Arabidopsis thaliana: one gene and its partner. The protein of the gene in region 2 interacts with the protein of the main gene of each other region in a pairwise test. Each region holds a gene or a part of one and is shown on either strand. Other genes may lie near its edges.

The links. Proteins that work in one complex are often made in the same cells at the same time.
Region 1: the proteins of GLR2.9 (region 2) and ERD6 interact in a protein complementation assay, tested with the Arabidopsis thaliana proteins (one large-scale study listed by BioGRID).

Annotation. Positions count from the first base shown.
Region 1 is NC_003070.9:2,871,715-2,875,472, reverse strand, and holds the start of ERD6 (Major facilitator superfamily protein), read right to left. Parts: upstream 2,174-3,758; 5' UTR 1,870-2,173; coding exon 1,645-1,869; intron 1,516-1,644; coding exon 1,453-1,515; intron 1,378-1,452; coding exon 1,288-1,377; intron 1,163-1,287; coding exon 1,103-1,162; intron 982-1,102; coding exon 916-981; intron 826-915; coding exon 760-825; intron 658-759; coding exon 582-657; intron 478-581; coding exon 413-477; intron 264-412; coding exon 171-263; intron 59-170; coding exon 1-58. UniProt on the Arabidopsis thaliana protein: Sugar transporter.
Region 2 is NC_003071.7:12,503,298-12,507,055, forward strand, and holds the start of GLR2.9 (glutamate receptor 2.9), read right to left. Parts: upstream 1,648-3,758; 5' UTR 1,622-1,647; coding exon 1,360-1,621; intron 735-1,359; coding exon 1-734. Other genes in the region: GLR2.8 (glutamate receptor 2.8), read right to left, coding at 3,583-3,758. UniProt on the Arabidopsis thaliana protein: Glutamate-gated receptor that probably acts as a non-selective cation channel. May be involved in light-signal transduction and calcium homeostasis via the regulation of calcium influx into cells.

The DNA.
Region 1 (3,758 bases), on a different chromosome or scaffold from region 2:
TCTGAAACAATTCAGACATCTTAGTTTCACCACCGTTTTCTGTCATGTCAATGGTATCCTGAAAAAAAAAGAAATCAATTTTTTCAAAAAAAAAAACAATAAATATTGAAAACCCAACATTAGTAAATAATAGATAGAATATATTAAAATGAACACTAAATTTTGCATACTCTAATTGTGTTTGCTTCACGAGAAATATCGACGTCAGATCCCCTAAGGCGTTGCAACGAAGATCGGCATTCTTTATCACGACCTAACTTCGCCTGTCATATATAACAGTATATATGAAGAAGCACCAACAAATATTTACAAATGCTTGAACCAAGTTTCAAAATATTTACCGGCTTTTGATTGGTTATAATCATAGAAACCAATACTATATTTGCAAATATTTAAATAAATAAAAACTTACCAGCCATCTTGGAGATTCGGGGATGAAAAATAAACAAAAGACGTGGAACACACATGGCACCAATCCTGCAAACATACAAACATCATGTTAAATTGACCGGTTCGAATTACATTACATCTATCATTTAAAAAAATATATTTTAGATTACAATCTCTAAACAGAATCATACCGACTACTGTTAGTAGTCTCCATGGAATAAAATTGCCAATGATGAAGAAGAGTGAAATTCCGCAATTTTGCATCAACTGTTCACATTTTAACAAAAAAAAAAGCATGTTATATAACGAAAATTTAATACATGTGTTTTAAAAATAACAGTAAAGTAAATTAAATAGAAATTTACGTACCTGATTGGCGAACACAAACGATCCTCGGACATGTTTAGGTGCAATTTCGGCTATATACACCGGAATCTACATGAAACACAACTTTTTATCAGTAATTCTCTTATTTTAGTACAGAAATTTGTGTGATGAGAATGAATTTGGAAAAAGAGGAATTACCACGTAGCTAAATATACCAACGCCGATTCCAAGTAACAATCTTCCACAGTCCAGCCACATTGCATTCTTCAAAATATTAAAATAAAAATATTTTTTTAAGAAAACACAGAAATTAATAAAAGGATAATATAAATAAATTGTGACAAGTCAGCAAAAGGACAAACGACAAGTAGTTTAGACAAAAAACCTGAGCCAATGCTACACAAAGCCAGCCTGTGATACAGAAGAATTCGCAAAACAACATCGTCTGTTTCAGAAAAAGTGGGAAAAATGGTTAAAGTAAAAACCGGTTCGAGTCAAACCAAACCATGAGACAGCATTTGGGTTTGGTTCACAAAAATCATAAACCGAAACTTGTATTAATCTTCTTACCCGTTTTCTTCCCAAGACATCAGCGACTTTACCGCTGAATACTGCACCGATCAAGCCTCCTAATGTCAAGATCGACCCGAACATTGAGTACTGTAAAATCAATTAAATACGGTCAATATAGAAGTAATTACATGTTGAAGTAACTAAAGATTATTGATTACATACTTCTGCAACGGAGAGAGATAAATCTTTGGTAATCCCTGCTTGTGCACCCGATGAAAAACCAACCTACAAAACCGAGAAATTAAGCCGGTTCAGTAAATTCACCTTCAAATTCAGAGTCAAACCGAAACTCGGAAGATATTGAAAATCGGTTGGTATGAACCGAGATTGAATCAAGAAAAGAAGAAGACTCACGCCACAACCGGTACAGAAGGAGCCTGATACGGCAACAAAGGTGCTGAGGAAAACAGAGGCGGTAACACGACATTCACCATCGTCGTTTTGAGGTTTCTTGACCTCTCGCGGAGACTTCCTCGATAAACCGGATTCTAAGAAAGCGTCTTCGTTAGGGAACTTTCTCTCACGTATGCTTAAGCTCTTCCTGAGTAACCCTTTTTCCATGCTCTTTTGTCTCTCCATTCCAAAAAGTCTCCTCCTGCTTCTTTCTTCTCTTTTCTTTTTTCTTTTTCTTTTCTTGGGGTTTCTCTGTTTTGGAAAGCAGATATAAGAAAAGTGGGTAAAGAAGAGTTGTGAGGAACTTCGAAGTTTCTGAGCAGCTCGAACTTATGCAACTTGAGGATTGGATGTTTTTGTCAACTGGTCTCTGGACACTTTGATATTTTATAATTTACACGTCATATTTTTTTTGTTTTTTTGAACAAAATCATAAAAACTTTTCTAAATCTTGTTTTTCGCTCAATTTTTAATATTCAGTGGACTTGGTCGTGGTCTTGGACGCTTGGGCAAATCAAACTGTGTTCGCTTATTATTTTGTGTAGAAACACAAGTAGCATTTTATTAAATATTATTAGAGATTTAGAATAGGTCGTCCCGCGTATATATATATGATAAAACGGCTCAATAATCAAAACGTCTTTATTTTAATCTTAGGTTTGTCTTGTTTAGAAATTTAGATCCAGTCACCCATGCACAGTCAACTTGATTATGGATCTGATTTTTTATCATAGATAAATTAGATAGTAATCATCTTTGCTTTTACGTTTACGAATATATGTGTGTATAGTTGTTATCTTCAATTATTTTATTTAAAATTAAATATGACTATTTTCGAGCCAAATATAAATTGATATGTTTATTTATATATGTATTATATTAACTTGAAAGAAATAAAATTTATCGTCCTTATCAATTATTTGATGGTTTGAAAAGTCGCTCTTGGTCGACCACCCTTCGTTTTTCTGAATTGATATATTTGAATTTGACTATTCTCCATGCATGTGCATCCAAGGATCCACACCTATGAAGTTGATCCATTTATTAGTATCTAAATGAATATTAAAGTGATTAATATCCCGCCATATTTGACTATACGTATATATATCTAACCAGTAATTTATATTTGCAAAACTGTTCTATACATGGATTATCTGTTCTACTGGTCAGAAATGCAATAAACAGTAGAGTGAAGAAGTCGAACGGAAGGTTCATGGTATAGCGGCATGAAAGATTATACATGTCTTTTTCATCACTTGTCTGTAAAAGAGAAAAATGAGACCCACACCTTTTTGTCCTAGATTACTTTATTGCTACTAAGGGCAGAAACATTAATCTAAGAAAGTTAAGCAAATCATGAGATACCTAAATGTTTCTTCTGATTGATTTCCTGATGTAAGGATTTAATTACTGGATGAAATCTGAAGCATGGTTTGTACAGACTCAGTCCGTTTACATGCGGTTCCTTCTAGCTATTTCACTCATTTATATGAAGTCAAAACCTATTGCTTTTAGTGGTTATACTTTACATGTATCTTGTATGTGAAAAATAATAACTTTGATTATGTTATATTATTTTTCAAGATTTAACTAGGTCCATACAAAATTTTGAGAAACAAATACGAAAATTACAAAATGTCATCTGCCGTTTGCAAAATAGAAAAAAAAAAAAAAAAACTATTTTAAGAATATTAAAAGGCTCTTGAGTATTGAAAACATTGCCGGCCCAATAGAAATCAAGTCATTGAACAAAGTTTGTTTTGGACCTTTCTGTCACAACTCTGCAAGAATATAAAACAATTTCATATCCCAAAATCAAAGTTCGGGTTTGCCTCATTTTCTTACCAACGTCTAAAAAGATTTGGACTTCCCAGCCCCAACATTTATAGGCCCATCATTGAATACCTAATCAATGGTTTGTGTAAATAACTTTTTTTTTTTTTTTTTTGTCATCGTGTTAATAACTTAATATCCTTGATGTATCACTTACTCTAATTTATTTATTTTTCACTTACTCTAATTAAAATTTGTATAGTTCATATTGTAGACAATTACAAACAAAAATAATTATATTT
Region 2 (3,758 bases):
GTTGGCTTTCTCCACAGCCTTAGCCAATGCAGTAATTGAATCATATGCCCATAATGCAAAAACGTTTAGATCATCTCTCATCGATGGATTCTCCTTCTCAAATGTTCTTTTCCATCTCAAACGGAAATCTCCGAGCTCTTTCGATTTGGGGACATGGCTCCTCACACCTAACACGCCCTCTATAGTATTTAAGCTACGACCATTGTTTATATGTCTCATCATATGCGTCATTCCATTGGTCATTAACCATACATACCCTTCCTCCATCATCCCGATATCCCTAGCTATCTGAAAAACCCGTAAAGCGAGACTTGATTCCATGTGGACAACAAATACTCTCGCTTGCCTCTCCATGAGCTTACGAAGTTCTTTCTGAATCTCATCATCGATAGCCTCCGGAGGGATCACACTTCTCTTGACTTCCACGTCTTGTAAAGCGTCAAACAAGAAAGGCATGAATCCTTCACCAAACTCGTTGTCCACATAAATTGCGACGACCCTTCTCCACCTAAAGAATTTGAAAATGGACGCAATGGCCCTGACCTGGGATGAGTCGTCGATAGTGGCTCTGACGAAGTAAGGGCTTTTGATGGATGTCAAAAGAGGGCTTGTTGCAGAGAATGTGATGGTCGGTACTTGAGTTTTGTTGGCCAGTTTGATCATAAAATCTGCTTGCATAGAGTTTATTGGTCCGATGATGGCGCTCACTTGCTCGGTTTTGATTAGGTCCAAGGCTGCTTGCACCACAAGCAACATAAAGAAAAGAAGAAAGGTTAAATATCCTCTGTTTTTGGATATAATATCTTCCATTTTCAATGGAAGAGTTACAACTTATAAGGCTAAGCCATGTTTGTCGAGTCCAAAAGAGCTCTAGTTGCAAAGTAATAAGACAATATTAATTTACATAAATAGTTAAAATTGTAGAGGTATCATAAGACATGTCACCAATAGTTTTCGACTATTCATCTAATATATTAAGACTCATGAGTTAAATATAATTAACGAGACTAATAGTAATCAGGATTTCTGCGACCATACAACCGTCACCATGAATTTCTAGAAGAGAAAAAAATTGGACTTCTCTATCAAGAGATTGCTCTTACCATAGACATTAGACCACATAAGAATACACTTGGTTTTTGAAGTATAGTCTAAAAGATAAATCGTCACCAAGACTCTTAGCATATACCCCCATATGATACTTTGATTTTTAATACTGATCTAAAATATTGGTCACATTCAATAAAATAGTAATTAGCTAAACCATGTCTATACGTAATATGTTTCATTCAACCGCAACTAATAAGTAATAAATCAAAATGACGGGAAGCTGAAGCAAGACATAGAGAAGTAACGAACCTGCAGCTGAAGCCTGAACAGTATCTTCCATGGAATCTCTAACGTGAAGCGTAAGTCTTGTGAGGTAATTTGGATGATCCGCGTAGAAATCGGACACGGCCATCTTTATAGAAGTGAGGCAGATCTTGGAAAATGTTGTATTGAGATCAAGAACTACTCCTACTTTGATTTCACTTGTTTGGTTTTGTCCTAAACCAACCCCCATCAACAAAAAACCGCAAACAAAGTAACTCAAAAAGGTGTTATTAGTTTTCATCATCATAATCGCCCCAAAACTGAGGAGACTTTATGTGATTCTTTAACTTACTTTTTTCCTGTTATATATATACAGTGGAAGGATCGGTTTGAAAGATACTTATAATCAATGAAAGACTTTGAAATACTATGCCAAAAATTGGTTTCTCAACGAAAGAGACATATCGATTTTTTTTTAAAAAAAAGTGTGTTGACTAGAAATTAATAAAACTGGTTTGAAAGAGTCAAATGAGGCTTTTGCAGATGAATTCTCTTTGAAAAGCAAACTACAAAATACCCATAACTTATTAAATAACCAAATCGTCTATTTTATAAAATATAAGGATCGCAATTCTTTCTTTTTTTTACTTTTAGTATTGTAATTGACATATTATAATATCATAATTGAAATAATTAAGAGTTAATTGTGCAAAATAAGATTCTTAACCCTTTTTGAGATCTATTTTTGAGGATAGCCTTTCTGAAGAAAAAAACTAATGTTTTATACATCCATCCCATGCTAATGCACGAGATAAATACTATTGTAAGCTTTTCTTATATAAAAAGAATATATACATTTTATCCAGATTTAATGGTAAATTTAAATATTATAATTTTTTAATAATTGTTTTGGCCAACTTTAAGAATTTTCAAATGTGTTTTGCAATAGGAATTACAATAATCGAAATAGGTTAGAGGTAATATTTGGAAATATATGTGTTTTAAAGAGAATAAGAATAAGCAAAAATGTGTTTGGGAAATGTAATAGGATTAAATTAAAAAAAATGGTTGAGAATAATTATATGCTTGCACACAAAAACACTAAAAATAGCTTATATATGTAGATATGTCCATACAATTAACGCAAAAAAATGCAATGAACCGTTTTTAAAGAATTCTTAGAAATAAAATGTATCAAAAATTGTCGTACTACTATAAAATAAATAAATGTTTTATAGAAGAGTGTATCTTGTAGATATGTGTACTTTGGTGGAATTAGCATACAGAAATTAAAAAATATAGGGTAAGTGAAGTGAGTTTCCCTCCAAGATTTTTAATTTTATTTTTTACGAGCAGTCGGAAATTAACGGAATTTTCTTAGTTTGGATTTATTCAGATTTAGTTTGTTCAACTATGCCATACACAATATGATTGTCCGTTGTAGAACAACATTCTCTTACGCATGTTCGAGAATAGGTCAAGAAGACGTATAATATGGGCAAATCGAAAACAAATATTCGTCAACATTATTTTTTCCAAAACAATGAAAATACATTAATCCTAAATTACAGTACATGATTTTGGATATAACTGAAGAATCTACATTTACGTGGGTGATGACGACATAAACAATTTTTTATGGTTGATATACAATAGTCTAATTTCTTAAAATTCTGTTGTGTTGAAGAATTGATTAAATTGAAATGCATTTGGTCCGATTTAAGTCATTAAAGGGTAACTGGAGGACGTTGAGTTGTTTAGCTTGGGTTATAAAGCTAAAAAAGTCTCCAATTCGAAGAGAGGGTTTCGCTAAAGGACAACCACTTCGTGAAAGGCAGTGATTGCTTTTACATAACTATGTGTACCTTTATCTTTCTTCCTCTGTTACGCTTCTTCTTGCTTGAGATTGTGATATTGTAGAGCTATGAGCATTTGCAAATAATGATATAGTAAATTATTGGATCTTTTGGCCGAGATGTAAGAATCACGCATGGTGGATGGATCATGAATGACCAGAGCCCTCTTTCACGACCCTGGTTGGGAATGGATGCGAATAGTTATCCTCGTTTATTTGGAACTAGGAACTTTCCTTAAAGTCACTTGCCACTATGTACATATGAAGTTTTTAGAGTTGCTATATTTTTGCAATGCAATCCTATTAATATAAACTTTGTTATAAATAAAAGAATAATAGCTTTGTTAGGAATATATGCAGCGAACTTAGCTTATCCTATCTATAACTTGTTATGGAATCTTCTAAACTTATCTCTATTGTTCAACAACACATTCAATATCAGATTCTTCATCTTCAAAATGTATAGTTTGCGTAGTTAACCGTTCTTCATTCGGGGTAAATGACACTCTTCTTAGTTCAAACGCCCTGTCTTGTGATGGGCTATGTGGCCGTGGTGCGATTTGCAAAGTTGAAGGGCTCGGAATGTACT